Linked DNA regions of Ovis aries. The protein of the gene in region 5 interacts with the protein of the main gene of each other region in a pairwise test. Links are inferred from orthologs where the notes say so. Each region holds a gene or a part of one and is shown on either strand. Other genes may lie near its edges.

The links.
Region 1: the proteins of SNCA (region 5) and PDE4DIP interact in a two-hybrid assay, tested with the Homo sapiens proteins (2 studies listed by BioGRID and IntAct). The link is inferred for Ovis aries from reciprocal best matches to the Homo sapiens genes SNCA and PDE4DIP.
Region 2: the proteins of SNCA (region 5) and CSNK1D interact in binary tests that used the Homo sapiens proteins (3 or more experiments, as listed by UniProt). The link is inferred for Ovis aries from reciprocal best matches to the Homo sapiens genes SNCA and CSNK1D.
Region 3: the proteins of SNCA (region 5) and ARFGAP3 interact in binary tests that used the Homo sapiens proteins (3 or more experiments, as listed by UniProt). The link is inferred for Ovis aries from reciprocal best matches to the Homo sapiens genes SNCA and ARFGAP3.
Region 4: the proteins of SNCA (region 5) and SDF4 interact in a two-hybrid assay, tested with the Homo sapiens proteins (2 studies listed by BioGRID and IntAct). The link is inferred for Ovis aries from reciprocal best matches to the Homo sapiens genes SNCA and SDF4.
Region 6: the proteins of SNCA (region 5) and PRKN interact in binary tests that used the Homo sapiens proteins (3 or more experiments, as listed by UniProt). The link is inferred for Ovis aries from reciprocal best matches to the Homo sapiens genes SNCA and PRKN.
Region 7: the proteins of SNCA (region 5) and BCL2L1 interact in binary tests that used the Homo sapiens proteins (3 or more experiments, as listed by UniProt). The link is inferred for Ovis aries from reciprocal best matches to the Homo sapiens genes SNCA and BCL2L1.

Annotation. Positions count from the first base shown.
Region 1 is NC_056054.1:97,837,343-97,840,842, reverse strand, and holds part of PDE4DIP (myomegalin), read right to left. Parts: intron 2,592-3,500; coding exon 2,448-2,591; intron 1,356-2,447; coding exon 1,217-1,355; intron 919-1,216; coding exon 872-918; intron 9-871; coding exon of another isoform or gene 1-8. UniProt on the Homo sapiens protein: Functions as an anchor sequestering components of the cAMP-dependent pathway to Golgi and/or centrosomes.
Region 2 is NC_056064.1:50,108,909-50,112,408, forward strand, and holds part of CSNK1D (casein kinase I), read left to right. Parts: intron 1-14; coding exon 15-125; intron 126-3,500. UniProt on the Homo sapiens protein: Essential serine/threonine-protein kinase that regulates diverse cellular growth and survival processes including Wnt signaling, DNA repair and circadian rhythms. It can phosphorylate a large number of proteins.
Region 3 is NC_056056.1:219,584,210-219,587,709, forward strand, and holds part of ARFGAP3 (ADP-ribosylation factor GTPase-activating protein 3), read right to left. Parts: intron 2,219-3,500; coding exon 2,100-2,218; intron 1-2,099.
Region 4 is NC_056065.1:50,598,832-50,602,329, reverse strand, and holds the end of SDF4 (45 kDa calcium-binding protein), read right to left. Parts: intron 2,310-3,498; coding exon 2,151-2,309; intron 1,947-2,150; coding exon 1,771-1,946; intron 1,040-1,770; coding exon 863-1,039; 3' UTR 501-862; downstream 1-500. UniProt on the Homo sapiens protein: May regulate calcium-dependent activities in the endoplasmic reticulum lumen or post-ER compartment. Isoform 5 may be involved in the exocytosis of zymogens by pancreatic acini.
Region 5 is NC_056059.1:35,535,625-35,539,587, reverse strand, and holds the start of SNCA (alpha-synuclein), read right to left. Parts: upstream 2,801-3,963; coding exon 2,680-2,800; intron 1-2,679. UniProt on the Homo sapiens protein: Neuronal protein that plays several roles in synaptic activity such as regulation of synaptic vesicle trafficking and subsequent neurotransmitter release.
Region 6 is NC_056061.1:85,560,519-85,564,018, reverse strand, and holds part of PRKN (E3 ubiquitin-protein ligase parkin), read left to right. Parts: intron 1-2,882; coding exon 2,883-3,123; intron 3,124-3,500. UniProt on the Homo sapiens protein: Functions within a multiprotein E3 ubiquitin ligase complex, catalyzing the covalent attachment of ubiquitin moieties onto substrate proteins. Substrates include SYT11 and VDAC1.
Region 7 is NC_056066.1:60,937,206-60,941,281, forward strand, and holds the start of BCL2L1 (bcl-2-like protein 1), read right to left. Parts: upstream 2,801-4,076; 5' UTR 2,761-2,800; coding exon 2,197-2,760; intron 1-2,196. UniProt on the Homo sapiens protein: Potent inhibitor of cell death. Inhibits activation of caspases. Appears to regulate cell death by blocking the voltage-dependent anion channel (VDAC) by binding to it and preventing the release of the caspase activator, CYC1, from the mitochondrial membrane.

The DNA.
Region 1 (3,500 bases), on a different chromosome or scaffold from region 5:
TAAAAAGGCTCAGGAAAGAAAGGAATCAGAAGAAATTAGCAGGAAAAAAGAAAATCAGGGTTAAATTATGGCCCAACCCATTTTCATACTGTGGGGTCAACATCTTTTTAGGTTAAAACTTAGGAATATTCCTAGGAATGGGCTCAACTGATTATGGCAAAGCTTTAAAGCCCAAGGTACAAAGCTTAGCTTTTGACTTTGAAGCCATTTCTAACACCTCAAGTTTTTCTTCAAAGTGGCTGCTTGAGAATGCATTGGTATTTTCAATAAATGTAGAGAATGCCTGCCTTATGAGATAATCTTTCCCTTTAAGTTTCAGTTTTTCCTTATTACCAAGTTCTCTTTTAGATCAATAAGACCCAATGATTTTCTTATGTTGTTTCCTAAAGAAAAATATGTCAAAATCAAATTGCTGCTTTCAGCCCAATATTATGCAGTGAAATCAACTTGTTAGGTGGCATCTTTCCATCAGTTTTTTATATAGTGGCATAGGAACCCTGGAACCCATGATTGGCCTCAGGATTCCTTTACTGGAAAGCTCATTCAGAGGCAGACCCCATATGTCCTCTGACCTTGAGAATCAACTGAACTGCATTTCTCCCCAATCCTGACATGGCATAAAGGAGAGAGAATTGGGGTCAAGAGAGAAGATGATGACAAAGTGAGAGTGAACTGAGAAGTCAGGGGAGGTTTCTGATTAGGGTGGGAGGACTGATGGGGATGGAATCTAGAGGGATGTTCATTGAGAACCTGTGCTCCCACAGGTGGACCAGAAATTTCCTCTTGGAAGGTCAGCGCAAGTCAGGAGTCACCTGTGCACTCTGATACAGACGGTGACAGTTTGCTCTGATCAATGCAGTGGTTTCCTTACCTCCAAATTAGTCCTTGCCTTCTTCAAAACATCGTGTGTCCTGGTCACTGTAACAACAAAAGAGTTCCCAAAGGCAGAAATTACCAGTGGGGTCCATATCTGTCTTGGGTGTGTGTGTTCTAAAGCTTGTCTTTCTGGCCACTCAGCTTGGGGTCTCCTAGTCCCCTCCACCCCCACATCTCCTCCTCTGCCTCTATGATTACTGATGGCACAGGAGGTTCAGGGATTTCACATCAGTCTCCCCCATCCCCTAGCCTCTCTGGTCGCTGTCCATTCACAGCACAAGTGGGGAGCCAGGAAGGCCCTCCCAATTTCCTGTCCCATTCCCTGGCTCAGGGCACCCACACTGGCTGAAGATGAACTGCTCCATGCTCTCCTTCTGCTGGTTGGCGGTCTTCAGACGCTCAGATGTACTCTGAAGGAGACTCTCCTGTTTGGATAGTTTGGTTCTCAGTTCCAGAAGCTCCTTTTTCATAGACTCTCCCTAGGAAGAAAAATAGGTGCTCTGTCAGTGGTCAGAAGGCCTTAAGCATCCTGTGATTTGTGGCTCTTTACAATCCCAAACAGGATTCTACAATCTTCTCAAGTATTTCTGGACCAGATTTCCCTCATCAAAGCCTCTAAAACCCTCCAGCAGGTGATGGCTCAGGATGGGCCATGAGGTGGGAACACTGAGGACCTGGAAGCCCCTATGCAAAGGAGCACAGGCCACACTCCAGTTGCTGCAGAGGACCTGAGTCCAGGCCACACTGAAACTCCTAGCTGTGAGTAAGAGCTCTGATTTAATGCTGACATAGTTATATCACTTGGGCATCAAAAATTGGTCATTAGGAATATTATGCCTGGGGAAACAGGACTGGCCTGAGACGTTCTACAAGTCTGTAAATATATCTGCCAGCCTCAGGATGGTAAAATACTTCCTCCTTGGAATTAGCAAAGTTGGATCCCCTAAAGTTATCATTGATACTAGTCTGGAGTGAGAACACTAGGAGGGATTTTGAAATCTACCTAATCCAAGATCATCAACCAGAGTGGCCTGAGATCTGAGAGCACCTGGGGGAGGCTGACTCTCAACAGGCTTGACCCAGAGATACAGGTTTAAGTGGAAATTTTTCTGGGATTTCAGTGGGTGGGTAAAAAGGGCTGGTCCACTCCTGGGGACATTCTGTGATCCTGTCTGCCTATGCAGACCTGGAGGTGAGTGGGAGTGGGCTTAGGATGGAAAAGGAGGTGTTGATGTTTTAAATGGCCCCAAACTTCAGCTCAGCTGAACTTCAGAAAGTTAAAGGGATGGAACATTTGTGGGTTACCAGGGCTCTCATGTCTCTGCCTCCTCTATGTTCTTTTCTTCTCCTGTTTGGCTCCTTATCCTGGGGGTCAGGCTGGGAGGAGAGAGATGTTTTCAGACCTGCACAGATAGCGCTCACCACAGAGGAGAGGTCTCCCTCCAGGGACACATGCCTCATGTCCCTTTCGTCCCAACTGCCCATTCAGCTCCTGATCTTCAGGCTCTGCAGGCTGAGGAGGTCGAAGGCTAGTTTGGGGGCAGAACCGGTAGAGGATGCTGGCTTCTTACCACTTTGCCCACAAGCATAGCGCCAGGGGAGCTTGGCAAGGCTGCTCTCCAGAACATGGTGAGGAGGGAGGCCGACTCCTCCAGCCGGTGGTGCAGGGCGGTGGCGCTGCTCCTCAGCTCCTGGATGCCTTCGCTACCCATCACCTGGGAAAGAGGGCAGTAGCCATGGGCATCCCTGTGGCTGAGACAGCACAGGCCTCGGCTTCCTTTGTGAGTGAGGTACGGCCACAGGCTTACTTGAACCTGTGAGACATTTTTCTAACCTGGAAGCCAAGGTTCTCTGACCTCAGCAAGGACCTCCCACTTTGTAAGAATTCATTTGATTCCACACTTTTTAGCTTTTAGTTCTGCTTCTTGCTCTGGAATCTAAGGTCCCTATTTTTGCACTGTACTCCCACCCTCTTCCCTAAATCAGGCCTTATGCTTCAAATGGGCTGTGCCATTTGTAGCTCAAAGGACTAAGTGCTGACCCCTTTACCTGGCATGTTCTCCACCCCAGAGAACTACACACCCCCTAGTGGTGCCCTAACCCCCATGAACCTGTCGCCTTCCTTCTGGGATAATCGCCACTTCTGGGTTCACTCCATCACACCCACAGCACTTCCAGCACTGTGCCTGGAGCCCCGTGTCATATTTGCTGACTCAGGTGTTCGCCTCCCTCTCGCGTGTAGGGGCTCCTGGAGCTCAGACAGCATAGCGGCTGGTACCTAGGTCTCTGCCTGGGGAAAGACTCTGAGAGGCCTTGTGGCCTGCTCTCCTCTCCTGCTCGGTCTAAGCAGAGAAATCCAGCGCTGCCACTCTCCTCACCCCTTCCACACATCTGGCCCATATGGATGAATCCTCAATTCCCAGGCAACTGATGAAGTGATTTTATCCTGCCCACAAATGATCATATCCCAGTGTGACTTTAGCAGATAATACAGAACCAAACAGCACTGCAAGTATGCTGACGCTTAACATGCTCTACTGATGAGGATGGCAATGCTGCACATACTTTTCTGTGGTTCTCAGGGGAAATAGAGAGTCAGCTACATCTAAAACAGAACAAAGTTT
Region 2 (3,500 bases), on a different chromosome or scaffold from region 5:
TTTCCTTTGCCAAGGTACGGACATTGCTGCAGGAGAAGAAGTTGCCATCAAGCTTGAATGTGTCAAAACCAAACACCCTCAGCTCCACATTGAGAGCAAAATCTACAAAATGATGCAGGGAGGAGGTAACGATTTTTACCTATTAAGAAAACCAAGGTGGTGTTTGATAAGGGAGATGGCAGATGTCATGAATCACAGTCTGGTTGATTTGGAAAGGGGGCAGGAACGTTCATACCCTTGACCCCATCCTGTGGCTTCCTTCAGATACTATCTGAGAGGCCTGCAAAGGGCCTCACTCGACCAACATCATTTAATGCTCTTTGCATGAATATTCCCTTTCTTAGGTTTTGTTATGTACTGGTGTCTTTGAACACGAGCTTATGTCAGCACTGACATGAAGCTTCCTGCTGATCCTCCTGTGCTGTCTCTGTCACGCTGGCAGCTTTGGGATGGTCCACAGACTCTTCCTCCTGAGTGAGACCCCTTCCAGCTCAGTTACTGTCTCGCTTCTGTGAAACCTCTCCTTGGGCTTGAGGGTATCTGATGTCAGAGAACACCCATCCTGATTTCAGAGTCTCCCTTTTAGAATTCTCTAGACTTTGAGGATGTTTGGCTAATAGAGCAGGAAGGGGTCTTATTGGGGGTCTCAGTTCTGAAGACACTGCAGCATTTTGAAGGGTGTGCCTGTGCTGCTCCCCAGAGAGCTTGGAAAGCCTTGGCACAACCCTGAATGTCTTGAATTTCTCTGGGGACAGGGCTTTGTGTATGAAGAATAGCTCTGTTATTCCCTTCAAGGCAGAAGCCCCCATGATACTTTCAGAGTTGGGGATGGGGGTAGGCTCCTAGGGCTTTGCCAAAGGAAAGCTTGTCTTCAGAGTCTGTGCTGGCACTTTTGTCAAGTGGAAAGGGAGGACTGGTGAGGTGACTTCTTGGCATCTTTGCTTCACAAAGCAGTTTAATCTGTGCTACTACTACCAGAAACCAAATCTGTGCTACTACTACCAGAAACCACCATATCTCTGTTGACATAGCACAAGGAGTCTCTCTAGCAACATATACATCTTAAACAACGTGCAGAGTCCTGTGAGATGATTGCAGAGGGGGTGTCCAGTGCCTCTTGTCCCTGGTATTAAGAGACCAGAAAAAGCTGTAGGTTCTCGGATGGCACATAGACAGGAGACTCCCTGGCCCCTCCAGTGCCCAGGAGAAGTTGACAGAGGACCCTACCGGTGTGTCTACCCTCTGGAGGCCCTCAATGAGCTTCTCAAGCACCAGGTGTGGTCTACACAGCTTTTAAGGTGGTTCTGAATAGGAACAGGTGACTTGAGATATGGCCTTCATGGTGGAAGGAGCTTGGTGATGGGGATTGGATGAAACCTTCTGACTGAAAAGCCTGTGCATTTGAGGAGCAGCATCTCTGGGAACTCAGAAGCTGGGTGCCCAGGGACAGAGGGAAGGAGAAGAACTAATGTCAGGGAGGAGCTATGGAGTAGATTAAGACTCAACAAAGGGAATTCCCTGGTGGTCCAGTGATTAGGACTCTGCTTTCTCCACTAAGGGCACAGGTTCAATCCCTGGTCAGAGAACTAAGATCCTGCCTCAACAGAAAAGAGTTTATTTGGGTTAGAACAGGGTCTCTCCTCCGAAGCATTACTGTTTATAATGGAAGCTGTCTCCTGCATGGAGGACAGAGAGCAGCATCCTAGGTACCAGTAGGCCCTCACCCCCTCCCCCAAGTTGGGGTGATCAGAAATGTCTGCAGATGCTGCTAAACGCCCCTGCGTGTACTTTCCGCTTAGACCCCCTATTTTAGAATGCAAAAGATCACTTACGTTAGTCTTCCCATGCCCTTCCCGTAGGATCATGGAAACCCACCAGAATTCTAGAAAATATATTCTTCTGTCTGACCCTAGCCACACGTAGATCGGGTTTTACTCTTGCTTCAGATATACACTTGGTGAATTCTATCAAGATGTAAATGTTTGTTTTAGAAAACTGATTCTGTCCGGGAGCAGAGAGCTCCATGCTGGTACTGTTTTGTGAGCTTGTCCTAGCTGGGATGGCAAAGGAGATAGAGGCCTCTGCCTGGAAACCTCATAGCTCTCCTGTTGGCCAGCCTTCTGTATCCATCTTAGGTGGTGCATCTCTGATATGGTTTTTTTTCTTTTTATGCTGAGCTCTGGGCTTCTTTGCAGACAATTGATAAATTGACAGCATCATAGGAGAAAACTTGTAGCCCAGGGCTTGCTTTGCCCTCTCTAGCTTGTAGTACAGTGTTGCCTGGGTTGCTGCCTGTTAACAGTGGCCTTGCAGTACTCCACTAGAGAGAGCTGCTGTGCTGGCTCACTCAGGCCACTTAGGGGAGGGGTTGGCATTTAAAAACAACAACAACATGTTTTGGGGTGTGGATGAGGTGGGTGAAAAGTTTCAGTTGTATGGTAGCATTTGGTAACCAGATTTACAGTGGTGATCATCTTTTATAAGTGTATACAAAGATGAAATTATACACTTTGAAACTAATATGTTTTACACCAATTTTACTTCAATAAAAGCAAAAGCAAAAAAAAGACACACTAGTGTCAGGTATTGTTGAAAGTGTTTTTACATGTGCTGGCACGTTCTCCACCACAGTCCTGTGCAGTAGGTATCATCACCCTCATATAATGAATGAAGAAACTGAGGCTGTTTCTAAAGAACACAGATTTGAACATGAACACTGTAGCTCCCAGACCACTCCTACAGAGCAGCCCTCCATGAGGGTCAGCAATCAGGAACAAGCCCCAGATCTAGTTGTGCAATAGATTAAAAAACTTGAAATAGCAGAAATAATTTTAAGTTAATTATGTTGGTGAAGGACTTGGGTGGACACCCAGTTTTTATCAAAACAAAGTGGACTGCCAGGCAGAACCTAGAGGCTGACTGCACTTTCCAGTCCTAAGAACCCCACAAAGTATATTTAGACCACATTCTCCTTGGGAAACCTTCGAGTGGAGATCTTTTGTTTAGGTCAGAGCTACTTCTGGTCGAGGCTTGTGGCGGGTTGGGAGGAGAGGGTGGGCCCTTTGTATGAGAATTCAGGCCAGGGGCAAAGGGTGGGAGCTCTGCACTGATGGTGGGTGAATGCCACCAGTGACTTGGCAGTAGAAACAGGTGGCCTCTCACCCAAGTTCACTCTCATTTTACATGCCTGGTCAGTTCCCACAGTATATTTAAGACAGTTATGATCTTTTTTATTAGGAAAGGTTTTACAGTACCTAAGAACATGTAGAGCTCGTGGCTATTGGAATACTAAAACGAACCCCCAGAACTCCCATGTGCTTGAGAGAGAGAGCAGGAAGGCCTTCGGCACCTGTGTGCCCACCCCAGGACTTCTCTACAGCTGCCCAAAGCCTGTCTGCCCTTGCTTAGTGTGTTTCTATTTTTTTTTCTCCATTATCCTGCAAGAAGTTAGTTTTTTAAAATCTAATGACATTGCCCAGAAACGTTTGGCCATTGTATTT
Region 3 (3,500 bases), on a different chromosome or scaffold from region 5:
CTATTTGGATTATTTTTTCCCAATGAACTAATGTTTGTAATTTTTTTTTAAAAAATCAACGAAAAATGTTTAAAGAGCAGCCCTCCACCTCTGAAAAAAAAATCCTTAAATACCCTTATCATCCTTGACTTTCTCCTGCCCAAATCCTCGACTGCTGCCCTCAGTCATACGTACAGAGACTTTTTTTCCCTTAATGGCTGTTTTTGAATCGTGTACAAGCATCGTGATTCACCCGGTTATATTTATCTAACTTTCCAAGGGTGGTGATTAAACCAGCAACAGCCCAAAGAGACCCTGCTGTCCAGTCTCGTCAGGCTCTCAGTCAGCCCTTCCCTCAGCTGGGGACACGTCAGAAAGCCACCTCGTTTCCTGGGATGGTTTAAACTGGCAGTGCGCTGTGTGGTGGGGAAAAGGGAGGGCCGGCTCTGGTGGGTGGGGCCGAGCAGAGAGGAGGAGAGCCACTGGCACACAGAGTCTGGGCATCTGGAGCTCTGGGCAGAGTGGGTCACCATGTGTTACCTGGTGACAATCGACCTGGGGGGGAAAAGTACATGCAGATACACTTGCCGTGGCAACCACACCCCTCCACATTTGAAAAAGATACGAGGACCGGAGAGTGTGTTAAAAAATATCCTGTGTCTAAGGAACAAGAAAGTATAAGAAGAACACACAAGAGAATTCCCTTCCCTAAATCATTGCCTATGGAGTTAAAACAGCTATAATATTGAACGCATTCTGCTCCCATGGACGGAGGAGCCTGGTAGGTTACAGTCCATGGGGTCTCGAAGAGGCGGACACGACTGAGCGACTTCGCTTTCACTTTTCACTCTCATGCATTGGAGAAGGCAATGGCAACCCACTCCAGTGTTCTCGTCTGGAGAATCCCAGGGACAGAGGAGCCTGGTGGGCTGCTGTCTATGGGGTCACACAGGGTCGGACACGACTGAAGCGATTTAGCAGCAGCAGCAGCAGCTCTTATAAACTGATTTCTGAGAAAAAGAATTCATGAGAGCATATAAAGAAAGCTTTTTAGGTTAATATAGTAAAAAATTATAATATTAATAGGTTAGTCTACGGGAACAAATACTCTTTGTGGTAATCATGTTGTAGGATCAATGTAGTCCTTAAGTCCTAACAGGCAGGGCAACAGGTGAACTGACTAGGGGAGGCCAGCCACGGGGAGATCTGAGCCCCAGGGGTGCCCTGCAGAGGCAAGGCCTACTTGAGTGCACGTCCTGTTTGGCTTGCAAGCCCAGAGCCTGCCTGGGGATCCTTATCTCAATGTATTTAACTTCACACAAGGGCACATCCAGCTTCCCACTGGAATGCGGGGTACCTTTAGTACCCACAAAGGCCCCACAGAGGGTCAGAGTAGAGGCAGGTAATCCCTAGAGGAGCCCAGACAACACATATGTGCAGGTTAAGAAAAAAGGCTTCACACTGCACACATCTTTCATACAACAATCATTCCCTCCAGCTCTATTAATGTCCTTGGGAGCCTGAGCTGTTGGATTATGCTAGAGGCGAAACCCAGCTCCGAGGGTCCCCCTGACTTAACTATAGCTGAAGGAGTGATGGACAGACAGAACCCCCTGTCACCCAGGAGGGGTCAGAGCAAGACTCCCATGTGCTGCTAATCATCAGAAGGTAAAAAAGGAAAAGGGGGCGACAGAGGTTGAGACGGTTGGATGGCATCACCGACTCGATGGAGATGAGCTTGAGCAAACTCCAGGAGATGGTGAAGGACAGGGAGGCCTGGTGTGCCGCAGTCCGTGGGGTCGCAGAATCAGACACAACTGAGCGACTGAACACAACAACAAAGGAAAAGGACCCTAGACCCTGGGACCCTGCCTCAGACCCTAGATTCCGACTGTGTCTTCAACACCACTGCCTCGGCTCTTGGGCCGGGCTCTACAGAACAGCAGCTGAATAGAAAATTACTCATTTTCCCAGTTTACTCAGTTACCGGTAGACTTAAATCTCCATGACTCGACCTACCTCTCTTGTTACTTGACGGCAAAGCAAATGTAAAGGAAAAGGGGAGAGAGACCCATGGGACATTGTACTCATCCCTGCCCCCAGGAGAGAGGCCCGCTTACCGAATGAAACTCAGGTGGACGCCCAGGGACCGGTGGCCCCCTGAGCAGTCGATGCACAGGAATACCCCGTAGGTGATGCTGGCCCAGCTGGGGTTCTTGGCACCACAGTCAAAACACACCTGAAAGAAAAGTTCAAAACTCAGTCACCAATTGATTCTTGTTGGCCAGATCAGCCATCCTATAGGACAATAACAGGATTTGGCTTGAAAACTGCTTAAGCCTCACAATTTAAACTGATTATTAGAGGGAATTCCTTGGTGGTACAGTGATAAGGACTCAACGCTTTCACTGCTGGGCCCTGGGTTCAAGCCATGTTCAGGGAACTAAGACCCCATAAGTGGTGCGATACAGCCAAAAATAAATTAATAAACAAACTGGCTACTAGAAAAAAAATCTCACCTCGATTTTTTTTTAAAGGCTCAAATTTCTACTTCATTTATGATGATATTATTATACTACACATATTATATAAATAGAAATATTAATACAATGCATTAATTACATAATAAATTACATGTTACTGTATATCTATTATAACACGTCCCTGGTGGCTCAGTGGTAAAGCATCCACCGGTAGTGCAGGAGACGCGGGAGACACGAATTCCACCTCTGGGTCGGGAAGATCCCCTGGAGGAGGAAATGGCAATTCCGGTATTTCTTGCTGGGAAAATCCCATGGACAGAGGAGCCTGGTGGACTATGGTCCATTGGGTCACAAAGAGTTGAAGAACACATACAGGTTATTATAACACTCAGCGGTATGTGTAGTGAACTCAGGTGTGTTTATCATCTCCAATACGACGCATGCATGAAGCGTCAACAGGGCTCCTCCCCCGTCACGTGAACAAACACTAGACACGAATATCCTGCTGGAAACGCCCAGCGCCTTACAGTCTCCTGGGCAGCGGCTCTCCACTAGATGGCAGATGTTCACGCATGTTTCTTTCCTCCTAAACCAGAGGAGGCGGAGAGCATGGTAGCCAGACTCCAGGATGCCCCTGGGATCCTGCGCTCCTGGTCCTAAGTGAAGCAAAGTCGCTCAGTTGTATCCGACTCTTTGCGACCCTATGGACTGTAGCCCACAAGCCTCCTCCATCCATGGAATTTTCTCGGCAAGAGTACTGGAGTGGGTTGCCATTTCCTTCTCCAGGGTGGGGTTTCTCTTGTGGCTCAGCTGGTAAAGAATCCATTTGCCATGTGGGAGACCTGGGTTTGATCCCTGAGTTGGGAAGATCCCCTGGAGAGGGGAAAGGCTACCCACTCCAGTGTTCTGGATTAGAGAATTCCATGGACCATGGAATATATAGTCCATGGGATCGCAAAGAGTTAGTCCGACACAACTGAGCGACTTTCACTTCACTTCACTTCTCCAGATCTTTCCGACCCAGGGATCGAACCCAGG
Region 4 (3,498 bases), on a different chromosome or scaffold from region 5:
CAGTGTGTTATCTCCTCCACCCCACATGCCAGCCACGCACCAGGCACAGCAGACCCTGGGAAGGAGCCAGTAGAGGACCTGTCGCCTCATCTCCCCCACTGCAGGCTCCCAACTCCCCAGCCTCACCACAACCCCCGGGACTGCTCCTCCCCATCTCCGGCAGAGAGCCCCAGGCCAGGACTCCTGTGCTTTCCAAACTCTGTGAGTGCCCCTAGTTCTCTACCCCCATCCCTGGGAGCGCTCATCCTCAGAGTCCCCCTCCGTCCTAAAGTCCCATTTTCTCCTGGTCCCTCCCAGGTGGCCTCACCCAGGCCTGGACTCTCGCTCCTGACTTTAAATTGGCAGCTGAGGCCCCACCCGATCACAGGTGAATGTCAACGCTAGGAAGCCCCGGGTTCTAACCAAACCGCCCACCACAAAACTTCAAGGGGAAGCCGCCTGGCCACAAACATCCCAAGTAATCGTCTACGTGGTTTTTTTTCCCACCAAAACAATGAAGCTGAGAGAAAAAGGCAACTATATTTTGAAGTAAATTAATGTGATTCCTGTCACCAATATTCATGCTCCTCAGAGACTGACGGCCACGGGCCGGTGGCTCTCACAGCCCCACCCAGCACCCCGCCCCACCCCGGCCACTGGCTGCCGGTTTCCAGCAAAGTTTCACCTTTCAGTTTTCGAGGGAATGGCAGGAGCTCCGTCGTTTCCCACGGTGGGGGAGCCCACCGCCCTGATGTGGTCAGTGCCTCCGGCAGTGGGGCTCTGAGTTCTCAGAAGCGAGATGCAGCGATTACACTGGAATCAGGGTGCGGGCAGCCCGCGGGGTGCTGCGGGGGCAGGAAGGGGGCGGGGGTGCGGTGGCGGCTCAGAACTCCTCATGCACGCTGCGGGCGTAGTCCACCAGCTTGCTGCCCGTGAAGAACTCACTGTACTTGAGCACCTCCTCAGGCTCCAGGTAGTGATTCTGGTTCTCGTCAGCGATAGCAATCATCTGCTTGGCCTCATTGAGGGCGCTGAACTCATTCATGGGGTCCATGTAGTCCTGCAAGGGCAGCGGCTCAGCCCCGACGCACCCCAAACCCCTCCGGGCCAGGGGCATCTCCTCAGGTTCAGGCCACACCCAGCTATGCAACCAAGACCCCCTTGAGGACACCCTGCACTCATGGGGCACCTACGCCTTGGCTACAGCAGGCGGAGGCTGGTCTGTAGTACCCATTGGCTGGTAGGACAGAAGCTGTGGAGCCAGGAGGTGGGCCTGTTCTGGAAGGCGGGCACCAGGCTGGAAGTGGCTCAGGGCCAGGCAGCCTCCACCTGTGTGGGCACCTCCCTGCTCATATCAGGGTGTCCAGCCACAGAAGGGCAGGGTGAAGGGAGGCCCCGAAGCGGGGCACATGCACACCAACCGCCAGGACGGCAGTGCTGACAGGCAGGAGTTCCCAAACCAGACATCCTACCAGCTATGAGGAGGGGTCAGGGGATTCTGGAATAAAATGCAATGACTCATCCAGCCACGGGAGGAAACAAGGCCATGCAGCACCTACACACGACGCCAGGGAAGACACTGACAGGCAGGCAGTGGGTCCAGCCTGTGCACAGCCCTCCCGCCCCAGAGTCTGGCCAGACTGCCCATGGGGGACAGCACACCTGGGCCCAAAAAGGGGAGCCCATGACATCGGCTGCATGGCCCAGCTCGGAGGCTCCAGTTCCCCTGACCAGTGCCCAGCCACCGCCAGATCAACTCTGCCTCCCAGCACAGGATGGCCCCACACCCACCTCCAGCTCTGCCATGGTCACGATCCCATCATGGTTGGCGTCAATCAGCTCCTCGAACTCTCTCTTCCTGTCCCGTACCCAGCCGTCATCAACATCCTGGCCCTGCTGGTTCTCCACGGTGCCCACGGGCAGAGAGATGAACTCAGACAGCGAGAGCTTCTTGTCACCATCCTGGTCTGTGGGACAGGAGGGCAGATGTCAGAATCCAGTGGGCACAGGACCACCAAGGCCACTCGGGAGAAACTCAGCCAATGGGGCTTTGTCATCAGGTTTTCAATCTGTGTGGTCTCAGCGTGACTGAGAGCAGCGAGCACACAGTCCCCCAAGCCACCCACCCAGTCTAGGACCAGCCCAGGCTGACCTCCGCGGCCAGGCCTCACCCAGGTCCCGGATGATCTCCTTGACCATGAACTGCAGCATGCCGCGGCTGTGCTCAGGGTGCAGGAACGATAGGAACTCGCTCTCTGTCAGCAGCAGGTCCGGGGGCGGATTGTCCGCCTGATACCAGCGGTCTTTGAGGTTCTCCAGGACTTCCTGTGCTGAGAGAGGTGTGTCCGTGAGGACCCAGGCACACAGGACCACTGCAGACATCTGGAAAGTTTTGAGACGCACAGCCCAAGAGAAGGGGGCAGCTCGGGACACAGAGGTGCCGGGACAAGGACTCGGCCCTCAGAGGGGAACTCAGCCCCCAGAGAACAGATGCCCAGGCCCCCAAGACGCAGACACAAACTCTCAACTAAAGAGGCCCCCCAACCCGGACATAGACCCCTTCAGACACAGACCCCTCCACCCCAATGTAGCCCCACCCCTACTCGCTCCTGGGCAGTGGAAAAACTGCGGCAGGCCACCAGCTCTGCAGGAACCAAGGCACAGCTTGATTCCTTCCTGTTTCCTCCCGTTCACTGGGCAGCGCTCTGAAGGAAAACCCAGTCTCCAGAGATGAGTCATGTGTCCCCCAAGTGACACTCACTCCCCCTGCCATGAGAAGGCCCAATGCAGGGAGCGGGGACCCTGGAGGCCAGTGGTCAGCAATGATCTGCGTGTCCAGTGAGGGAGGGGGAAAAGCAAGCGCAGTACACCCAAAGCCTGCAAACGAGACCTGATTTGGAAAGGTCTCTGCCGATATAACTGGTGAAAGGTCTTAAGGTGAGACCACTGGGATTCAGGTGGGCCCTCAGCTCAGGTGTCCTCGTGCAGGAGACAGAGACTGGAGCGCAGTGGCCAGGAGCGGGGACCTGGGGGAGCCTGTCTGGGTACACTGGGACAGCAGCCTTGGGTACCCACAGGGGCTCACCAGCCAGCCCTCCCCCGATGCACTCTAGGGTCTCTGGGCACCCCGACACTGCTCTTCACTTCTGATCCCCAGATCTGCGCACCCCCGCCCAGATGCACAAGCACACAGTCTGCTGAGGGCTGTGCAGACAGAGACTCCACAACCTCTAGATACAGGAAGGACACATCCTGACCCACACACACCTCAGGGAAAGGGCGCTGAAGACAACCAGACAGAGATGACTGGCAGCTGCCTGAGAAGCCAGCACCAAATCTCCAATGCTAACAGGAGAACCAGGCCCCCAGCCACCTCTGAAGGACACCTTCAGGGGACTGTCTGAACCACAGGAAAACAATGGAAACACAAAATGGAAACATATAAAAATAGGAATAAAATAGGTTTAAAAAAAACAGCAGAACCAAAACCCTGGGTGGCATCACCTGCACAGGAAGGGG
Region 5 (3,963 bases):
ATCCTTAATGGAAGCTATGGAGTTCGGATGATCATGATGTGTCAATGTAGGTTCAGCAGTTGTAATGAATGTACCATCTGGTAAAGGATGTTGGTAATTTGAGAGGTTATGCATGTGTGGGGTTTGGGGTACATGGGAAACCTCTATATATCAATTTTTCTGTTAATTTAAAACATAAAAATTAAGTCTTTAATTTTTTAAAAGTATGCCTTTTTACTTATAGGTTCGGCTTTATTATGATGTTCTCACAAGAACTCTACAGGGTACTTGCATGTATTCAAACTGTATTTTTACAAATGAGTAAAGTGATGCTTAGATATGTTAAGTACCTTTCCATTATCCTAGAGGTTAAAAAGTGCTGTAGTCTGGACTGGAATTCAAGTTTGACATCAAATCTACATTTTTTTCCTACTTTATCAGGAGTCAGTAAACTATAGCTTATGAGCCAAATAAACTCTCCAGCTGTTTTGGTAAGTAAAGTTTTATAGGAACATAGTCACCCTAATTATTGTTTATGGCTGCTTTCACTTCAGGAGAGCAAAGCTGATCAGCTGAAACAGACATCATACCCTAAAATTATTCACTACCCCTTTAGGGAAAAAGCTTGCCAAAACCTGGTAGTACTATAACTTCACAAGGTCATACTTCATCCTGAATTATGTATTTGTGTTCAACTTTTAATTGACTTTAAAATATCAACTGATAAATAGTATATAGAATGCACTCTGTTAAATACCATAATGAACACTGAAGATTATTTTTTAAAATATGTATACATAAACAAATTGAAATTTCATATAATAATCTCAGAGAAAACAACAGAATTAATCTCTAAAAAATTGTTATTTTATTTGCCCAAACTCATGGGTGAAAATGAAAACAAGTACAATGTTTTCCAGATGATAATCCTGCTTATTACCTGGAAAACAGCACCATGTTAATTTAATAGTCAGTGGTTCTTGGACTCATTCAAAACTAATAAATCAATATTATCCAACTAAAAATATCTTAAAAGTAACTAAGCTATAAAGTAACTGAAATCAAGGAATGGTTACAAAGCATGCACTTGTACAACTTGGAACACTGAGGACAAATATAAAAATACTGATTATCTAAATGTCACTGATTCAGTATTCCAAATTCCACCTAAAAAGATACAATCCACATTTCACAAGAAAAAAACTGAGTTTAACTCATTGACTTTTCCCTCTTGTAAGATCTTTCAATTCAATGATTTTCTGAAAATACATTTTAAGATAAAGAGTAATTTAACTAGAGGTTTGTGGTAAGATTGAACCAAAATAAAAAGTCTATGAACAGTGAGAAAAAATATGAGAAATATTCATAAAAATCATTCCAAGTATAACTTTTCTCCAGTCCATCTCTATTGAAGAGACGATATAGCTTTCCTTCACCCCACAGACATAGACAGAGTATTCTACACAATCCATTATGCTCATCCTCCACTTTATTACTCATCCTTTGGCTACTGGTGCTACACCTGCTACCAGAGAATGTGAGGAAAAGGAGGAAAAGCTCAGAGGAGAAAAGAGAATGGGCAGTGTGTGAGTGTATGCTCATGTGCCCGTTTGTATCCCTATAGATGAGTGTGTGTCTATGTGTATGCCTATTTCTTCACCCAAAGAATTCCAGGTGACTTGTAAAACAACACCCAACCTAACACAGTTCAAGATTAAAAAAAAAGAGTAGGGCTTCCCTGATAGCTCAGTTGGTAAAGAATCTGCCTGCAACGCAGGAGACCCTGGTTTGATTCCTGGGTCAGGAAGAGCCTCTGGAAAAGGGATAGGCTACCCACTCAAGCATTTTTGGGCTTCCCTTGTGGCTCAGCGGGTAAAGAATCCAGTTGAAATGTGGGAGACCTGGGTTCAATCCCTGGGGAGATCTGGGTTCAATCCCTAGGTTGGGAAGATCCCCTGGAGAAGGAAAATGTTATCCACTCCAGTATTCTAACCTGGAGAATCTCCATGGACAGTCCATGGGATCACAAAGTATTAGACAGGATGGAGCAACTTTCACTTCACTGCAAGAATACTCTGATGTGGGAATTTATAAACAAGGAAAAACAGTAAGCATCTAATTTATTGTATCATTTGATAAATGAACTATATAAATGTCTCAGAGATATTAGCAGCCTTCAAGCACTTTCTTGAGCTTAGTCCCCAACTTACCAAGTGGTCACAAGAAGTAACTCCAAAGACTTGTCTGTCCTTTTCTTTTTAGAGTCACAGTAGGTCTCTCTTTACATATCTCAAGATTATATCAACGTCTTACTTTTAAATTAGAATACACTGAAGTTAGCATATATTATTCATGAAGATAAATCAAAAGCTCATGGAGGAGTTTGATTTTAAGATACTATTGAATATTTTCTGAGACTGAGTTTTTAAAAGTGTCCTCAGAGCTATAGTTACTTATGCATAGAAACATTCATTTAAAAAAAGAAAGTCCTAAATATTACTGCAAAATTAAATAGTCTGGAAAAACAAAATAGCCCCACTTTGTATATTAGCTCAAACACACACATTCACCTACTTACACACACCTCTGATTCAGCCCATCACTTTGAGGAGTGGTGAGAAATACCAGCATTTAAAGCATCAATCATCCTAACCCATCAATCCCAAATAAATATCAAAGTGACATTTAGGGCTTACCTACCTACATAGAGAACACCCTCTTTTGTCTTTCCTGCTGCTTCTGCCACACCCTGCTTGGTTTTTTCAGCAGCAGCCACGACTCCTTCCTTGGCCTTTGAAAGTCCTTTCATGAAAACATCCATGGCTAACGAATTCCTTTACACCACACTGGAGAAGACAAAATACACTTTAAGAACTTCTGCGTAAAAAACAAAATTAGAACCACCCAAAGTAAAAACTATTGAAAGATCAGTAGAATCCTCAAAAGAGTGAGATTCTCTTAAGTGTACCTCCATTTCAACCACTGGACAAAGGAGGCTTTTCTTAGCTTTTGCATTAAAAATTTAGCATCTCCCATCCATCTTGGCTGGATAAAGTCTAGCCGCCTAAACATGGATTAGGATGAATCATATGAGCTGTTCTTACGCGTTTCCGAAGTGGAATTGCACGGAAAGATAGACTCCTCTTTTAACTTCCCAGGGTCCAAATGGTGACAGTATAAGTTAGAAGTGCGTTTAGAAGACATCACAGGAAAAGGAAAGGGACCTGAAGGCAGGGGGTCAGGGACACGCTTACATTCCAAAAGGCAGCTAACAGATCAATCACGAATAGGGGAGGGAAGGAACCACTCACTCTGGGTGTGGCTGAACCTCAGGCCAACTGCGAGCCCACCGCCCTCGCTCTAATTCACCCAACCATGCACCCGACCCTGGGCTATCAACCCAGAGCGTGCAGGAGGGCGCGAGTTCACAACCACGGAAGCCTCAGGAGGCGCGCCAGCCACCCGTGGGGGCGTTCTCAGCGCCTGGAACCCGCCCCCTACCCTGCGCCGCACCTGTTAACCCCTTATCACCTGTTGACTCGCCCTCTCAGCGCTCCCACTTAACGATTTGCCAAACATAGCTTGTTTACTTCACAGAGAGAACAGAGAGGGCGGACTAGAGGCGGGGGGCGGTTAAGGAAAGCGACAAACAAAAGTTGAATACTCATACTCCCTGGAGCATCCTCGCGTTTCCCAAAGGAGAAGCTTATCCCTGAGAATCCAGACCTCTCGGCCTCTGAGGACGAGAAGAGGGAAGCAGTCGAAGCAGGAGGCAAACAGGTCAGTTGCCTTTCCTCACGCTCACCCTAGGGATAAGCACTCACCTCTGAGAGAGGCTCGACTACAGCTGGTCCTCGCGGCAGCACGCCCACCCCACCCCCGCGCGCCCCGGGGCGCCCGCAACGACTCTTCTCCCACCAGGTGTTCTCCACGACTTCCAAAGCTGCCCAGTTAGTTCCACAAGCACTTACCAGATTTCCTCGG
Region 6 (3,500 bases), on a different chromosome or scaffold from region 5:
ATGTCCATTGAGTCAGTGATGTCAGATGCAACCATCTCCTCCTCTGTCATCCCCATCTCCTCCCACCTTCAATCTTTCCCAGCATCAGGGTCTTTTCCAGTGAGTCAGGTCTTCACATCAGGTGGCCAAAGTATTGGAGTTTCAGCTTCAGCATTAGTTCTTCCAAGGAACATTCATGACTGATTTCCTTTAGGATTGACTGGTTTGATCTCAAGGGACTCTGAAGAGTCTTCTCCAACACCATAGTTTGAAAGCATCAATTCTTCAATGCTCAGCCTTCTTTGTGGCCCAACTCTCACATCTGTACATGACTACCGGAAAAACCACAGCTTTGACTAAACAGTCCTTTTTTGGCAAAGTAATGCCTCTGCTTTTTAATACACTGTCTGGGTTTGTCATAGCTTTTCTGCCAAGCAGCAAGCATCTTTTAATTTCATAGTTGCGGTCACTGTCTACATGGATTGTGGAACCCAAGAAAATAAAGTCTGTCTCTGTTTCTAATCCCCATCTATTTGCCATGAAGTGATGGGGCCAGATGCCATGATCTTAGTTTTTTGAAAGGACACTTGGGAGGCATTTCTTATAAAGTTTGCAATAGAGAACAGTTTTAACTTGGTTTTAGGCAAAGAATTGTCTAGCTTGTCGTCCTTTGTATTTTGGAAAGTGTGATCTTGGACGAGTGGAAGCCCCGAAAGAACTCAGCTGTGCAAACAGCGCCGATCTCTTCTCACAATAAACCCCTTACTGCGCAGCTGAGGGGAGCAGTCAGTTGACTCTGTTTGTCCCCGCCCCTCCCTGCAGAGCTCCCTCTGTGCAGGTCCTAATGAGCAGTGAAACGGTCCTGGGCCTGCGGTGGGAGGGACATCCTGGGTGACAGGGCTGAGACCCACAGCAGCTAATTAGTGTGCGGCTAATTGACCTTTCCCAGTAATTGTATTCCTCAGCCTTTGGCAACCAGAGAGGGGGGCCTTTCAATATCTCTGTGTAGTATCATATCTTTGATCATAATGAAAAGTAGCCATCAGAAATGTGAAATAAATTCAAAGCATAAATCACAAAGTTCCTGTCTTTTCAAAGTCTGTATTTTTTTAAACGAAAGATCAAGTCGAAGGAACAGTTTTTATTCTCATCCCATTAATATAAATTGGCGTTTGTGTTCATTCATCACTGTGGAGGTGACCGAGAACACAAGAGGGAGAAAGCAGTGGGAATGATTTTTGGTTCTTCTGACTCCCACTGATTGCCCTGAGCTCATGCTGTCTTTAACCACAGTATCTCATTGTTCGCAATAGCCATACGAAACATTTGTTAACCATCACATTAAAAAAAAAAACAACCTTGAAATGCCTTCCTAAATAATTGCCATTTTTGTCTTTGACATAGAAAATACACTACAGTTAATTCCCCTGTAAAAGTATGATAGTGACAAGGCAGCACGCGAGGGTGCGTCGAGGTGTATAGTTGTTACCAGTATCGTTGTATTTTGTATGGGTGTTCTTTAAATTCCCGAAGATGGAGGAGAATGACAGTCATGGGGGGCGGTTTGAGAGAGCAGAGTCCTTGCTCTGTGGGAGAAGTGACAGACTCATGAGCAACCGTTTCTACCTGGTAGCTATTCTGAAACTGAGACGTGATTTGTGGGTCTAGCTTCTGTCTTAGCAAATTAGCTGATGTCCAGATTTAATTCTACTGAATTTTAAAGCCTTGATTACTGTAGCTTTGTAGTATAGTCTGAAGTCAGGGAGCCCGGTTCCTCCATCTTCCTTTTTCTTTCCCGAGATCGCTTGGGTTATTTGGGATCTACTGTGTTTCCATAAACAGCGTATAATTGTTTGTTCTACTTCTGTGAAAAATGCCGTTGGTAATCTGACAGGCCTTGTATTGAATCTGTAGGGCGCTTCGGGTAGTGTAGTCATTTTCGTGATACTGATTCTTCCAATCCAAGAGCATGCTGTATCTCTCCCTCTGTTTCTTTTGTATTTGATTGCTTCTATCAGTATCTTATAGTTTTCTGAGTACAGGTTTTTTTCTTCTTAGGTAGGTTTATTCCTAACTCCTGTGCATTTTATTCTTTTTGTTGTGATATTAAATAGGATTGTTTCCCTAATCTCTCCTTCTGTTCTTTTCTTGTTAGTATATCAGATTGTGAGAGATTCCCATGAGTTATTATTATTTTTTCCCCCCCCTGCATCTTTCCCAGATTCATTGAGGAGCTCTCATGGTTTTCTGGTAGCATCTTTAATTTTCTATGTGTAGTATCATGTCCTGCAAACACCAACAGTTTTACTTCTTTTCCAGTTTGGATTCTTTTTTTTCTGTTTCTTTTCTGCTTGCCATGGCTGGGACGTACAAAACCATGTTGAATGGAAGTGGCGAGAGTGGGTATCCTTGTTTCGTTCCTTGTCTTAGAGGAAATGCTTTCAGTTTTCCACCAGTGGAATGATGCTAGCTGTGGTTATACAAATCAGGATATAGTTGCAGAACGTTATTCTAGATGTTCACTGGTTTTAATTGTGAGATGGGATGAAACAGTGAAAGATCAGAATAGTGTGGGTAACCTCTCCTCTGACTTCATTGGCCTGCTGGTGATTGCTAGTGGTTTTGGAGTATTTGTGGGGTCTACTGGAAATAAGTGTATTGTAAATTCTAGAGAAAATTGCCCTGTCATTGGTAATAACAAACTCTCTGTACTTTTTAAAAAACAGAAAGGGGGATAAAAAATACAGAAAGGGGTGCTAGTATTTAAATTTGATAATGATAAGGGCATGCCGTTTCTGGTGAATCAGTTTTGAAGCATATTGCTGTGTAGAACTGAAGACAAGTTCAGCGCCACCTGTGCTTCAGCGCCTGCTCATTCTTGTGATTTTGTCTCCCTCACTCAGAGCTGTGACCTGGATCAGCAGAGCATCATTCACATTGTGCTGAGACCGCGGAGAAAAGACCCAGAAGGGCACCCACCTCGGGGGGACAGCCCGCGGCCCGCTTGGGGGCGCTCTGACAGGGAGCCCGAGAGCCTGACTCGCGTGGACCTCAGCAGCTCGGTGCTCCCCGCCGACTCGGTGGGCCTGGCTGTGATACTGCAGGACAGCGAGGAGGGCGGCGCCTCGTCCACCCGCAGGCCAGGTACCCGATGCCTCTCTCCGTGCCTCGCGCCGGGTTCTGCGTGCTGAAGTCTCCGCAGAGAGCAGCCTCACTCTGTGTGTGAATACCTAGATCACAACACGCTCTAAATCAGTGGAAGGCGGCATGGCTAGAAGGAGAGTCTTGTTACTCTAAGATTTGAGGTGACGCATTTAACAAGAACGGCAAAGCAGAGCTTTCCAGTTAGGAATGAACATAAAGGATGAGCAAAGTGTCAGGCCCGTAGTGATAGTCCTCGTTTGTTCGTTTGGTGGTTCTAGGGGTGATGGACTCATGGGACGCCTTGTGCTGGGCTCACAATATGCGCACTGTATATCCCTCTCAGTTGCGCCTTTCTCTTTTCTTCTGTGCTTATTTAC
Region 7 (4,076 bases), on a different chromosome or scaffold from region 5:
CCAGTGTGCAGCTCAAACAGAATGGTCCCCGAGAGGAAGTGGGCGGCACCTTCTACCCAAAGGATCCCAGTGTCACATGTTCTCTATCTCCTGGCCTCGGGAAGAACACGTGCCCAGAAACGGTTCTGATATAACTGGCTCTTCTGCACACATCCCCTCTGTCCACCAAGAGGAAGTAACACATGGTATGCTGTTGGGCAAAGAGACAGCAGAAGATGGAATGTCAATCCAGTGGTGATCTAATGATCTTGCCCAGTGTTGCTGTGTCAAAGACCTCTTTCCACACGCAACACTGGGTGACTAACAACTCTCTGGTCCAGGTGGCCCTCTTAGACAACTGGCTGGCAGGCCAGGAACCTCTCCCATGTTGCCTTTTGTTAACAGTTGGCCACAACCCACATGGAATTAGGACCACCAGCCAGAGATAACAGTGAGGGGCAAATGGCCCAAGTCTCTACTTAGGCCTCAGAGGGTGTGTCAGAAACGCTGGAATCCTGTCCCTCCTGTAGTAAGTTAAACAAATATTTGCCCCTAAAGAAAATCAAAGCAGGAGGGAAAAAGAGAGGTCATCACACAAACCAACAGGAACTATTTAATCATTTATTCCCCCAGGGAGTTCATTTACTGAAAGGCTTTCAAGTTGGGTCAGTCTGAGCCAAAGAAAGCCCTCCACCTTTACCTTCCCAGCCCCACCCCGGTCATCTGACCTCTACTCTGCTCTTTATAAGAACTGGCAGTGGGAAGAGTTGATGAAGTTGCAAAGAAATGGGAAATAAGACAGGGGGTGGTGTACCTGGAGGTCCCTTGCTCAGTGGTAAACTGAAGTGGCTGCCACACCCTAGGCCCAGCCTCTGGATAATTGCATTCTTAACATTCCTGAGTCCATGGTGCGTGGCCCTTTCCACCTCAGCTCCTTCAATAGATGACTTATTTTCCACAGCCTGCTCAATTTTCTGAAGGACAGAATGAATACCTCTCTTAAGCCCTACACCTCCCTGAGGCAGGGAGATAAGCGAGGAGATATGACTGAGTTCACTGCAAGAGAGCAAAAGCTGCTGACAGTGACCACAGGTAAAGAATCCCTCCACACCAGCTCATCCTGACTTGGTGATATCAGGGCAAGGGAATTCTCTTCCCTGGCAAAGGAATGAGGCACGACTCAGTTTCAGAAGGTGTACCTGGATCTGACAGTAACTACTAGAGCAAACTTCCTGTCACTATGCTCACATCAGCTCCAAGATTTACAAGGACTGCAAGGCAAGAGGGTTGGCCACATTTTTTTAGTGGAAGAACCTGAGGCTCAAGGTAAACTGGCCTGTCCAAGGTCACACACCTAGTTAAGTGACAGGGCTGGGACTCACATCTGTGTCAGTTTGTTTCTGAAGTCTGTCACTGAATCTCAATGTCCCAAGGAGCCCCAAAGATCAGGTTCTTGCATTGCCAGCAAACAGTGCTCAGTGAAGAGGCCCCAGGGCCATGGCAGAAAAGTGACAAGCATAACAGCTGGAGCTCCCCAACCAACCCAGGCAGTGAGGTGCAAAGTCCCTGGGCTGACAGCAAGCGCTCCGCAAACTGGCCAACCACACAGAAAAGTCGCATACTTTAGAGCCAATAAATATGGGGCACAGCACAAACACAACTGGCCCATTGGCGCAGCTTACAACCTAAAATCAGACAATCCTCAGCCATCCAGAGGGATGCAAAGCCAGGCCATGCAAACTCTGAAATAAGGGGAACCTGATTTGGAGGAGGGAAGCCCAGGACAGGATTGACAGCTCAAGGGAGTAAGACTGAAGGGGCTGGTGGGTCACTGATATTCACTATCTTCTCCAGGCATTCCACTCATCACCCCTTAACGTTGTGAGCCATTATGTCAGGGTGAGGGGTAACCTGTTACCTTTGCATTCTCAAAGGTTTGGGGCCAAATGAACACACAGGCTATGTTATCTTCTGCAGAGAAACTGGAACACAAGTATGACAGAGTAGGGTCACGAGGAAGACCAGAATGAAGATGTCTGGTCCTCACAGAACTAGGTCATCTGTATTTCAGAAGTTAACCTCTGTGATACAAAGAGGCCAGTTATGTCTCCTTAACAAACAATAATAATCACCCAGCACAACAGACACAGGGGAAAGGTTGTTGGGGATTTGACCAGAAGCCAAGGAAAAGGAATACATAAGGGGCGTGGTTCTTACCCAGCCGCCGTTCTCCTGGATCCAAGGCTCTAGGTGGTCATTCAGGTAAGTAGCCATCCAAGTTGCGATCCGACTCACCAATACCTGCATCTCCTTGTCTACGCTTTCCACGCACAGTGCCCCACCGAAGGAGAAAAAGGCCACAATGCGACCCCAGTTCACCCCGTCCCGGAAGAGTTCATTCACTACCTGTTCAAAGCTCTGATATGCTGTCCCTGGGGTGATGTGGAGCTGGGACGTCAGGTCGCTGAATGCCCGTCGGTACCTCAGTTCAAACTCATCGCCTGCCTCCCTCAGGGCTTGCTTCACCGCTGCCATGGGGATCACTTCCCGGGCATCCAAGCTTCTGCTGTGGCCGGTGGCTCCATTCACCGCAGGGCTATCCGCCAGGTGCCAAGATGGGTTGCCATTGATGGCACTGGGGGTTTCCATATCTGATTCTGTCCCTTCTGGGGCCTCAGTTCTGTTCTCTTCCACATCACTAAACTGACTCCAGCTGTATCCTTTCTGGGAAAGCTTGTAAGAGAGAAAGTCAACCACCAGCTCCCGGTTGCTCTGAGACATTTTTATAATAAGGATGGGCTCCACCAGTCCATTGTCCAAAACACCTGCTCACTCACTGGGTCTGGTCTCTGCTTAGTGGTTCTCTTCGAAGATCCAAAGGCAAGACAAGGTTCTGAAGGGAAAGAAAGAGCTTCAGGGGGGAAAAAATGAATATGCAAGCCATTTACCTACAATATCCCATTCCCCACTCCAGGTACTTGAACTGGGTTCTCTGCCGCTCTTATGAAGATATGGGTCTAGCTTCCCAGGTACTTCGATGAAGTCAATTTGAAAGCACCAGTGGGCTCTGAATCATCACACCGGCCTTTTTTTCCTCCCCTTTTATCCCAGCCACCCCCTTTTCTCTGAAATGTCTTCCTCGAAAAGTCACCCCCATGGGCAGTCTGCCCCCCACCCCCATAAACCCTCACCACCTACATTCAAATCCGTCTCAGGCGACGGCAGGCAGGTGCAGCCCCCGGAAGATCTTTTGTATCATAGGTGGGAGAGGAGGTGGCAGCGGGGATGCCGGTAAGTCAACCGGCCTCGCGGCGGCGGCTGGCAAAAAAAGCAGCTCCGGCTGGAGGGATCATGCGACCCGGCGAACTGAGAGCTCAGGAGGCGACACAGGAATTACGAAGCTCAAGAACCGGCCCCCTCGCTTGCTTCCTCCTCCATCGCCCCGATCGAGGGCGGCCGCTGCCGCGGCCTCCTGCCACCCGGGAGCCCAGCCCCCTCGCTCTTGCACGCCCCTTGGCTCTCCGCCTCCTACTGGGAGCTAGGAGAACTCTCTCGGAGGTGGCTGGTGTGAGCTTTAGTTTTTTTTTTTTTTTTTTTCTATTTCAGTATCAGCCCTGGGTGAGGCTTCCGAAGAAACCTTGAAGGGACTTCTCGATGGGGCTCAAGGTTTCGATGAGAAACAGAGGGAGGGGAACACTGCCTTGGATCTGCGGTCTGAGTTTGGAAAGGCCATCCCCGGGCCTTTCTGGGAGGCTGAAAGCCGGAGACCCCCCAGAAACGCCGCTGGCTTTCTTTGAATTCCCCAAAGGCCCTGGTAGTGGCGGTGGCAGTGGGGGATTGCCGGGTCCTCCATTCCCCGCACGGACACAATGGCCGCCGGCGCCCTGCACAAAGACCGGGCGAGGGTGAGGCGCCGAGCCTCTCCACCGGTCAGAGACAAGGGTCGAGGCCTGCTCGAGACCCCCCACAGCTGAGACTACGTTTTCCTGGGGACAGGCCCAGGCTGGCTTCTTGGCACCCCCGGGAGCTTAGGGGCCCGGGGTTGCACCTCTCTAGAGGCCGGGGTGGGTGGGCTGCGGCCTCGCGGCTTCCTCCGC